Kluyveromyces lactis: one gene and its partners. The protein of the gene in region 2 interacts with the protein of the main gene of each other region in a pairwise test. Links are inferred from orthologs where the notes say so. Each region holds a gene or a part of one and is shown on either strand. Other genes may lie near its edges.

Region 1 (3,727 bases), on a different chromosome or scaffold from region 2:
ATTGGAATTGAAAACACAATAGCTCAAAGCAAACGCCAGTAATAAGATCCCGGTACCGCATCCGTACCAAAGCCCTTTTAATCCCAACTGAAATTTACCAAAAGTTAGCCATCCACTTAAAGGCAATGCGATAAAATAGTATGCTATGATATTTAACAGGCTGCCAACTTGCTGCCGTCCTTGTGCACGTAATATCGCAGCGCTAAAAGTTGTGAATGCATCATATAATTGGTTAACTGCCAAAATTGGAGCGACATGACGATATAACTCAACGACCTCTTTGTCTTTAGTGAACAAATACGCTAAATTCTTGTCACCTGTTAAAATCAAACAACAATTCGCAATCCCTACAAACGCTGCTATCACGTACGACGTATTAATACAGATCTTCGCGTTGTTGACCGATTCTGTCCCAACATAATTAGCAACCCTTGTGGAAACTACGCAACCCATTGCGAATGGGATTTGATATATCAAAGATCCTATGTTCGATACGACTGATTGTGCTGCTATAGCCTTGACACCGAGATATGTAGACATAATAGTCAATACTTCGAAAGAAAGGTACTCTGCTTCAATCATGAGTAAACCAGGAAATGCCAAATTCCACATAGGTTTCCAGCTGCAAAATAATCTTTTAAAGTGGAACATTGAAGAGAACATGGGATACCAACAAATCAGAGTTTCCTTTCTCCAAAATTTGCAATAAACCAGTAGCATTAAGGCCATAAACCAGTGCGATATGGCGATACCTAGAGGAGCACCAGCATATCCAATGTAACGAGTAAATGAATACACTAGAATAATATTAACTGGAACTGTAATCAACAAGGAGTATGTTCCTGCTTGGAAATGGCCCTGTGATTGAAGGAATCTCTTACCAGTTTCGAAAAAAATCAGCCCTGGCAACCCAAACGATATTATTCTCAAGAAAAGTTGTATCTCTGGGAGGATATCCTGTTCAGCAATCACATAACCTAACCATGAAGCACTGAACCACCATGATATAATCACAGGGAAAATACCTGTCATTATCATCGCTGCACAACGGAATGAATATAAACCAACTTTTGCATATTTCTTGGCACCATACGCTTGTGAGCAAAAGGTATCCAAAGAAGTGGCCATACCCTCCACAAATGCTAAACCAGTAATATTGTAAGTCATTACCGCCAAAGATGCGGAAGCTAAGGCATCACTTGATTTACAGACATGACCGATGACAAATAAAGAAATAATAGCCAAAGAGTATTCCATTAGAAAAGTTAATGTAATTAGAGCGGAGTTGCTTAAGATATAGGAGACTTCATTCCTAGAGCTTGTTGGGGCAGTAAGATCCTCTATGAAGTCTTCGTCAATAAAGTCATCGCGATCTGCATCTGGACTCATTAGTCGATATCGATTGTCTATGGCATCGCCAGAAGATGCAGATTCTCCATCACTTTCATATCTAGTATTGTCATTGATTGTATCGTATCGCGGTCTATCCATAGAGTCACAGAGATACTCACTCTCTTGATTCATGTCTAGTTGTTTCAACTAACCTGTAATGCCCTTCTTTATCTTAAAACCAGTTTGAATGTCCATTAACAGTGGAATGAAAAAAACTAATCTCCAGAATTAAAGGTATTAATACCCAAAATGTTGTATTGAGCCAGGCAGTATGGATTGAACGGCCACCGAGCACGTTCCGATGACACGAACCTTTTATTCGTCTTGGTGTACATATAATTGATCCTTATCTACGTTGAAAAAGCACTAGTTTTGATAATCGCTAATAAGAATTTGATTGTGAAATTCTATATTATCGCTTAGCAGATAACTGCGATAGGAACAAAAAAAACAAAAGAATAAGAAAGTACATACCGTCAATTAGGTGCAATGTCATTTCTTCTTCGACCATTGAATGATAGCAGCTCGAACAACTCCAACAACGTTATAAGAATAAGCCCAGAACCATGTTTTGTCGTAAAATCTAAGGTAATAAACCCTGGTACTACATCGCTATCAAGCAATGCAAAGATATTCATCAACATTTGCCATAATGACCAGATACCCTTACCTGAAATCGATTTCAACCCCGCCATAGTATATCCCCTAATAATCAACAACCAATGGGAAATACCAATCGTAACCTCCTCAATAAGGGAGGATGTTGACAAAAAGGGCAACGTCTGCTACGTGAGCGATTGTTGTATAAACACCAAATGCGTTTCATGGATCCAGCATGATTTACAACTAAGAGAAATCGTAGTTGAATGGTGCTTAGAATCCTGTGAATTGCGAGCGGAGCTCGAAATATCAAGGGATAATATAAGTTTCCCTAAGCTGAAGAAGAAAGGTGATACTATACCTGAACTAGAAATACTGCGAGAAGACCTAACAGAGAATTATGAAGAAACCATCAATGATTTGGTAAATAGGGAACAAAAAGAACCTGTTAGTATTATCGAAAAGAGGCGAGACTTTCTTGCAGAAGACGAACCTTCGACGGGTGAACTGCCGCCATTAATTCCTATCGACCAATCTTCCCGTAGAAAACCTTTAATAGAGGAAATCGAGGATCTTTCACTGCATGAAACCAAGAAACCCAAGGTTGAAGAAATACAAAAAAAAAGTATATCATATGAACTTAGTATGGGCAAACCCAAAGACACCTCAGAGTTTCTCTTAAAGATAGAAGTGACCTCGGAGCTTAACTCTAGTCTTGATTACAATATCAAATATGATGCTAAAAGTAATAAACTCATCATAAAGAATACTAATCTAGGTATTTATCCCGAGAAGAAACTCAAGGTTCCATTACCTGATATATTTAATAATCCTCCAAAATTAGAGTGTTTCTTTGTGAAGCCTGAGCGCAGATTAATAATATTTTTATAAAATCTCAATATGGCCGTATATATATATAAATTGATGCAAGATGTTCGATTATCTATATATGCTTTTATTAAAGGGCTACGTGTATGAGAGTTAAACGTAACATGTAAAGTATATTTTCATTCACTTTAGGTTAATGAGGAGGGAATGCTAAATTTTCCCTATGAGCTACGTATTCACTATCAGCATAGCCTAGAATATCTTCAATCTGATCACTTTGCAGACCTTTAATTTTTGATAACTCTGTGCTTGTATAGTTGCAACGAGCCCTACCTACTGTTTTCAGTGCAACGGATTTATCCAAATTTCCATCTGAATCCCTGACTCCCAATTTTATATCTATACATTCATGTTCATGGAAGCTCCCTTGGACTTCAATAACGCCTGCAGGTAACAAACCAGCTTTGTTTTTCCTCGTTAACGCTTCGTATGCACCAATGTCTATAATTACAGCGCCTTGACTGACGAGTCCATGAAGCATCCAGAATTGTCTGTTCTTCAAGTGATGATGATTACTATTGGCAATAAACCTAGTATGAAGAGGAACATGATTATTAACTAAACTTTGCATCTCAGTGAGTTGTAGGTCAGCCAAATCTTGTGTAAGTTCATTCACGCCATCGTCCCTTTCCTGCATGTAGAGAACAATTTTGGAAATGTTTTCTGGAGTGTCGCTCTTCATAATGATGGTATGGACACCAGCATTGGTTGCTAATTCTGCCGCAATAAGCTTAGTCTTCATACCACCAGTTCCAACATCTGATCCAGATCCACCGTCTGTGTTCACACCTGGCAATCCTTGTGATATATCTGGAACAACCAAGATAGGTTTTGCATCGGGATTTGC
Region 2 (4,116 bases):
TGTACATTAAACTAGTTTAGATGTAGTGGCTTCTTTATATATGAATATATATAAGTGCCTAATCTGTTCACTGAGTGGCTTAATGCGTATGATACAGGGAATGAAAGAAATGGAATTATGATGCACGGTTTGTCTGTGTATGGAAGGGAGTGGATGATATTAAATAGAGAACATGCGAATTGGCTTCTTATTGTGAGATTGGACAGTTCTTCAAGTATTCCGCCTTGTTCTTCAAGATCCTGACCGATTTGAAGAAGATTTCTTCCGGTGTCATAGCACCAGAACTCTCCACGTTAAAGATGAAGTGGTCTCTCACCCTACCCAACTTAACCTTCCCCTGGAACTCATCGTGTCTCAACACCTCTCTGGACACGGTATCCTTCCTTGGATCCTTGATATAAGCTTCACCCTTCTCGTTGACATCTGCGACACCTTTAGGGAAACATTTCACAAATTTCTTGGCATCATCACCGGTGATAGGCTGTGTGATCTGGATGTGTGGTAATAGTCTATAACTAGCTGTCGACACCGGAGAGAACTTGGCATGGTCTGCACCGATACCTAGAATACAATGTGCCCTTAACGAAATCTCTTGACCTGGTCTCAACTTGGCCAACAAGATATCTGGATCCGCTGCCACCACGGGACACTTGGCAAATTGTTCCACCTGTTTCCCCTGAGGCTCAAACTTAAGGTCCCTAGCATAGATATGCGCGTTTCTATAAAGAACCTTGGGGTCTTCACAATCCTTTGGAGCATCTGGGTTCCTGGTACATTTCACGTTCAACGACATCACTATCGTATTTTCATCTGTAAACCTTTCAGATTCGGGCAATGACGTGTCCACCCAACTCAACATATCTGGATCCACCTTCAATGGCACTAACCCGATTCTATGCGCCAACACTTCGTCCTGTAGCACAGACGTATTGTTAAAAAAGTAGACGTATTCTGGAGCGACAGATGGTACTTCTGAGATCATAATACGACGGAAAGCGTTAGCAATCGATGTGTCGACATGAACCAAATCGAAATTCACTTCACGCTCATCCAAACTCTCGATTTGTACGTCAAAAGTTTCCTTGAACTTCTCCAAGTCCCATGAATTGTCTTGATCCGAACTAAATCCAGGGAAATCTGTTGAACTTGTGTTCGTCACACGGTTATATTCAACACCAACGATATTGGACATCCTTTTTCAATTGTATTGCTACGTTTATGCTACCTCTTGAGCTCTCAAACGACCTCAGAAAAGCCCTATGACACTGGTCAAGGTCCGTCTCATCGGTGTAGATACCTCATCTCAAGCTCATCTCATCGCTTTAAAGAACTGAAAAATTTTTGGAAAAGAAAAGATCACATCGTATAGAGTGATTATATATGATTAAAGATTGGTAGAAATGCGATGAGATAGCTACTCGAGAGCAGGTACTAGTCGATTACTGCTCTTTTGACCATCCTCAGTTAGTTCAGTATGTGGTATTTTACAGTTGGATTGTAACTGGATAACCATATTCCCCTGTCTTACTCTTTCACAAGGTGATAATGGACCTTTTAGATGACGAAGATTATGGAAGTGTCAGCGATGAGGAAAGCTTGGATGATGGGTTAAGTGGTGTAACCAGTGGTATAACCAGTGGTATAGCCACAGAATCGGATATTTTACCCTCTCCTAGTGTTAGCAACCTAATATCTGACTTTCACGCGCAATTCTGGCACCAAGGCGCGGATTTAGATGACCTCATCCAACTTGCCAAGCACGAAACTATAATACGAGATGCAACAAACCATACGACAGAGCCTTACAATGTCATAAAACTGGGCCAATTGATGCCTTTATTCGATACAGAGCTTTCCATGGTGTTTCAATGCATTGTAGATACCTACAAGGCCAAGTTCCCTGGGTTGGAAACTATTGTCCCTGAAAGGAAACAATACGTCGACGTGGTCAAGATGCTGCAACAGGATATTCCCAACGTGCAATTAGACCAAGTGCTATCGAAGGAGGAAACCCTTGTGGTATCTATGTCTCTAAAGACAGATTTCAAAGAGGGTGCTCGAATTGATAAGGATCTCCTCTCCAAGGCCATCCATTGGTTCGATATTCTGTACAACTTACGGGACAACGTCTCACACTATGTTGAGACAAGAATACAAATGGTAGCTCCAAACTTATGTGCTTTATTGGGACCTGATACTGCAGCTAAACTGGTAACACATTGTGGTAGTGTTAAAGAACTAAGTGTGGTTCCCAGTTGTAATTTGGCATCCATTGGCCAGGACAAAACGTTGCATGGCAAATCGTTAGATATCTCTGGGGTACGACAAAAGGGATATCTATTCTATACAGACGTGGTACAAACACAGCCTCCTGAGTTCCAGAAACAGGCGCTTAGAATGGTCTCTGCCAAGGTTGCTCTTGCTGCGAGAGCGGATTGCACCATGGGGAATCAAGTCATTAACCCAGATGGGAATTCAGATGGGAACTCAGATGCCTCGAAGCTGGGCTTGAAATGGAGGCATGAAATCGTTGAAAAACTCAAGAAGATAATAGATCCGCCGAATATCAGTAACATCAAGCCGTTGCCGATCCCAGAAGACGCTCCAAAGAAGAAAAGAGCTGGTAGAAGGTTCCGTAAGTACAAAGAACAGTTCAAGATGTCGCATCTAAGGCAAATGCAAAACAGAATGGAGTTCGGTAAAGAGGAACAGACCACCATGGACCCATACGGAGAAGAAATAGGGTTCGGGATGGCCGATTCAAAGAACGTTTCCGCATTGTCCTCTTTCAATAAGACCAAAATGCGTAAATCTATGCGTTTAAGATTAGATCAAGAGACTAAAAACACGCACAGTTTCCTACAGGATGAGAGGTCCGAAAAGCTCAAACGTAGTGCAGAGCACCCACAAGCTACGGACCCCGCCACCAGCAAACAACCACGGTTGTGAGACACCATAGTTCTGCCGTGTACCTTTTATACCCTGTATATGTCTATTCATAGATCTGTAATTACGATTCCTATTATGGCAAAACCAAAACACAAAAAGATGATCCAATGTTCGAATTGAAAACTTTAAACAAAGAACACAACTTAACCATTGAACTTTAGGGTCTCTTATTCGATCAGATCTGCCGATAATTCATTGTGTCAAGTCAGAAGTAACGTGTCTGACCTGAAGCACTAACGGTTTTATTTACATACTTCAATCACACAGTTTAAAATAAGAAATGTTTACAAGAGATGCGAATGGTCGTCACAAGGAGGTCGACGCATTGGTCGACGATATGGTCAATTTCAGTTTTGATACGGATGCTAAAGTTATGCTAGATCCCCCAAGCACTCCAACGAGAATACGTGGTTCTCCGTCTCCTACTAGATCGATAGTAAAAAACCCTGAAAACTCGCTCATGGATATCGACGATGATACTCAGGGAGATTTGACGGCAGACATTACCAAGTCGCCAAAGAAACTACCCAAAGATTTCTATAAGAAGTCCTCAAAGACTAAATCCAAGAGATTGGTTTCCGTGTGTCAGATGTATTTCTTGGATTATTATTGTGATATGTTCGACTATGTGATTAGCAGAAGAGAACGTACCAGACAAGTGATCAACTATTTGGAAGAGCAAAGAAGGTCGAACCTGATGGGTACTGAGCAAATTACCAACGAATGGCAGGGTTATCTGACGAAAGAGACGAATATTCTAAGGAAAAGACGTTTGAAACCGAAACATAAGGATTTCGAAATGATTACACAAGTTGGACAGGGTGGGTATGGACAAGTTTACCTTGCTAGAAAGAAGGATACCAAGGAGATCTGTGCGCTAAAGATCTTGAACAAGAAACTTTTGATGAAACTGGAAGGTACAGACCATGTTTTGACTGAAAGAGACATTTTAACTACGACAAGATCGGAGTGGTTAGTGAAATTGTTGTATGCTTTCCAAGACCCTCAAAGTTTATACCTTGCCATGGAATTTGTGCCAGGTGGTGACTTCAGAACGTTACTGCTCAATACAAAATTCTTACAGGCCCCACATGCCAGGTTTTACATCAGTGAGATGTTCTGCGCTGTAAACGCGTTGCATCAATTGGGTTACACCCACAGAGATTT
Region 3 (3,861 bases), on a different chromosome or scaffold from region 2:
ATGGACTTAATTGTTGGAAAACAAATGACATGATAAGAATCTGGTTTTGCCAACCTGGTGACCCCATTCTCTTTGAAATAACAAAAGATGGGGTTGTATTGGAATTAGTGCAGGTAACTGATACCGAGGGTAGGGTCGAAGAACCAGAGGATTCTGTCACCCAATTTAACCTGTCACCAGAAAAGATAGTTTCACCAATCAAGAAGGATACCGTAGTGAAACCAGATAAGCTTCAAAGGCCGGAAAGTAAGCAGATGCTGTATCCACATACAAAACGCTCACTATTTATAACGGATGAGGATGGAGCAGATGATGATGACGAAGACGAAGAAGGAAGGCAATTCAGGTTTAAAAGGTGGGGGAAACAAAATAGTAACACTACTCCCAATTCAAACACTGGCTCCCAGTCAACACCATCGAACACAACAACCGAGCCGTCAATTAGCGAGCCAGTAAAGAGAATGAGAACAACTGTCGAATGGGGAGGAACAATTGAATCGAACAATGTCGGTACAGATGAATCTCATCAAAGAGAAATGAACAAGGCTGCTTATCTAAATAATTTGAAAAGACAAGCAATCCAAGAAGATCTCAATCTACAGGAAGAAGATGATGGCATGGGTCCCACACAAGCTGACAGACCTAAAGGTTTGTTCGACTCTTGATAATAAAGAACGAAAGAAGTACTTTATTTTTCATTTCGAAATGAATTCATAAACTGTAATTGAACATATAGACATATAATATACAGTACGTAAATAAACTTAGCATTAAATCTTAGATAACAGACCTACACAGTAGTGTAATCTAAGCCATGGGAGAAAGAATGTTGTTTTGTCGGCAGGTTACATTTTCTCTTGCATCTAGGCTGTCTTGGCGACATTGGCGTCAGTAGCGTCAGCTTTCTTGCCACCTAGATAATGATGGTTTAAATATCTGTAACCTTGCACAAGTTGGGCTGTTTCATTCACAACGTGACAACCGAATAACAAGAAGTTCCTTGGGGTAACAGCTAGGGAATATCTCATAAACACACCAGAGTACATCACTAGAGCCAGCGTCATAGGTCCAGAAATCATCTCCGGATCCTTCTTCAAATCGTAGATGGCAGCAATTGGGATACCGAAGTTTGAAACTGGACCCCAGAAATGTGTGGTGAAGACATACTTTAAAGTTTCCTTGTTAATGTATTTGGAAATCAAAGATTGACTAGCAGCTCTCTGTACTGGTTGGGACATGATTCAGGGATTATAAACTGTTGCCGAAGTATAATTTACTGAGTTAATATTAACGTAAACCAAACTAAAAAAAGAAGGATAACAATGAATGAATGGGAAAACGAGAGGCCAACTAATAACTCAGATCGAGTACCAAGAAGTTCTTCAATGTACCTTTAAATCTTTTCTGAAAACATTTAAACATTTTTGTTGAGCTTTAAAAGTCTTCAAGGTTTCGAAGCTTGAAAAATTCACCGCTGCAATACGATTTTCACTGGTAAACCCGTTGGTGAGAGACTACCCACTGCACAGCTGATGGAAGTAAGAGGTATAAAACTACATACATGGAGGGGCCGCATAACCACCAACTTATAAGCCGACATATTGGGGGATAGATTTCTGATTACTCTCAGTGGTTAACTTGGTCAAAATCCGTCTCTCTTATGATTGGTAATAAGAAGACGTATATCAGTAAGGTCACGTGATATAGATGACACTGCGTAAAAGCTATAGCACCAGTGGAATGACTTGCGGGGACCCTTATGAGCCTGTTTGACTGTTACATATTTCAGAATATGTTTCACGGTTTACGAAGCATCAGTTACCGGTTTAAAACTTCAACACCTTTCTCCAGAACATTATGTATGTGAACGTAGGAAATTTCTTTTCATTATCTATTCATCTCATCTCATCTCATCTCATCTCATCTCTATCTGTTCAATTAATGAATATGATGGGAAGAAAGGCCCCAGGGAAGAGTATTCGAGCAACATGAATGGTCAAAACGTGTACAATAACTCTTCACAGGGCGGATCTGTGAATAATAATCTTTTGCAACATACGTTACAAACCACGCGAATGCAGTATTATCCGATACCTCAGATGAATCAACCCAACCAATACGGTGTCCCCGCTATGCAGCATGCACCAATGGGAATGAGATATGGGACCCACCATCCTTTCTATCCGAATCCGCACCAGTATCAACAGAGCTGGTATGGTTTTAATCAAGCGCAACCGCCATACGTGGATGTTACAAAATCAAGCAAGATCAATTATGATGATGAGGAAGAAGAAGAAGAGGAAGAGGTGATAGAGCACCAACAGTCAAATTTAGAGGCAAACGACAAAATCGAAGTACCCAAGAAGGGTCCTATCAAAAAGTTCGCCAATACCAATTTGAGGAATTCTGCTTTAGTTGAGAATAAAATAGCAAGTGATGAAGATGATAAAAGGAAAGAAGAAGAAGATGAAGAAGAAGAAGAAGCTTCTGCTGATGAAGATATCATAGAAACCGTCAAAGGATCAGATCTGTATATACCTGGAACTTCAATAGTGCTTAAAACGGAGGAGGATATCGCAAAATGGAAAGAAGAGAGAAGGAAGATGTGGTTAATAAAGATTTCAAATAAGAAAGAAATGTACAGAGAAAAGTTTAACGTCAAGGACGAAGACTTGAATCGTAATCCTCTCCAGGAGTCTAGAAAGGAGCGCTATTTTATTCAAAATATACAAAACCAAGTTAAAAGGTTTAATTATAAACCAAACTTGACGATAGGTCTTCATCAGAGAATCTTAAAAGAGGAAAACGGTAAGATCTTGGATTTCATCAAAGAACTTGGTGATGCCAATTATCTCAAATATGAACTTACAGAAGAAGAAAAAGAGGTGCTCTTTGGAGGCAAAGATCACAAGAATGACCAGAATAGACGCTCCAATAGGAGGTATGATAGGCAACTCAATCAACGTGATACTCAATACCGAAACCATTCAAGGAAAAGACCGATTGATGAGGTTTGAAAAAGGAAATCTTGCTTACTACTTTAACCCTTCCAATATAAAGTTAGTGACAGCTGAACCAATGAAAGTTCCTATTAAGATACCAGGGAAGAATTTATTCAATGCCTTTCCGTTATTATTGTCAGCAATATCAGCGTCATATTTTGCATCATCGTGGTACCGAGGTTTGTCAACTCGATATTTCATTTTGTGTCTTCCTTTAGAATGCCTCTTGCTCTTCCTCTTCTTATGTTTCTTCTTATCCTTGCTTTTAATACTCTCGTACTCTATATTGTGATTATCTGTATCGATCTTGGGGGAACTGACTTGTAGTATTCTCTGTGTACCATCAGTGCTCATGGCGGGCTCATCAATAAAAGTTGATTCATCTTGATTTGATAACATTCCATTATTTGAAGCAACCATTCTCAGTTGCATGAGTTGGATTACTGACCACTCCGGGAGTGTAGTTTTTAATCCGAATTGATGCCTATTCTAGTTCCTTTCCCTATTTTCACTTTATAAAGACCTTTTCTCTTCAAGTTTTCAAGCATTTATATGTTTCATTTGGGTTTCAGACATGAGGTATCACATATAATATAGATAATAACAAAATATATACTTTTGATATCTTCAATAAAGCATTCTAAAAAACTGTTATGAGAGTGTGGGTTGGAACATTCAATGATATTTATCAGCTGGGTGAACAATCCAAACTTATCCTTCGACAAAATTTGCAACAGTAGCTAAAACTCCCAAAGTACCAATGGAACCCAACATAAATCCTAATGAACCACTATATAAGTCAAATCTTCTCTTTCTACCAAATTTCTTCCCCTTAGCCTTATTCACCCTAAACGTCGAC

What was found.
Region 1: the proteins of PRP31 (region 2) and PIH1 interact in a two-hybrid assay, tested with the Saccharomyces cerevisiae proteins (2 studies listed by BioGRID). The link is inferred for Kluyveromyces lactis from reciprocal best matches to the Saccharomyces cerevisiae genes PRP31 and PIH1.
Region 3: the proteins of PRP31 (region 2) and RSA1 interact in a two-hybrid assay, tested with the Saccharomyces cerevisiae proteins (2 studies listed by BioGRID). The link is inferred for Kluyveromyces lactis from reciprocal best matches to the Saccharomyces cerevisiae genes PRP31 and RSA1.

Annotation. Positions count from the first base shown.
Region 1 is NC_006039.1:884,187-887,913, reverse strand, and holds PIH1 (Pih1p), read left to right. Parts: upstream 1-1,881; coding exon 1,882-2,883; downstream 2,884-3,727. Other genes in the region: ERC1 (Erc1p), read right to left, coding at 1-1,524; PRO1 (glutamate 5-kinase), read right to left, coding at 3,014-3,727. UniProt on the Saccharomyces cerevisiae protein: Involved in pre-rRNA processing and required for the NOP58-snoRNA interaction.
Region 2 is NC_006040.1:1,252,836-1,256,951, forward strand, and holds PRP31 (U4/U6-U5 snRNP complex subunit PRP31), read left to right. Parts: upstream 1-1,545; coding exon 1,546-2,949; downstream 2,950-4,116. Other genes in the region: DNA-directed RNA polymerase core subunit RPC40, read right to left, coding at 188-1,192; KLLA0_D14905g (serine/threonine-protein kinase), read left to right, coding at 3,230-4,116. UniProt on the Saccharomyces cerevisiae protein: Promotes the association of the U4/U6.U5 tri-snRNP particle with pre-spliceosomes to form the mature spliceosomal complex.
Region 3 is NC_006041.1:1,720,903-1,724,763, reverse strand, and holds RSA1 (Rsa1p), read left to right. Parts: upstream 1-1,988; coding exon 1,989-3,017; downstream 3,018-3,861. Other genes in the region: DDC1 (Ddc1p), read left to right, coding at 1-665; pyruvate transporter MPC1, read right to left, coding at 864-1,238; KLLA0_E19317g (uncharacterized protein), read right to left, coding at 3,036-3,434; KLLA0_E19295g (uncharacterized protein), read right to left, coding at 3,714-3,861. UniProt on the Saccharomyces cerevisiae protein: Involved in a late nucleoplasmic step of 60S ribosomal subunit assembly.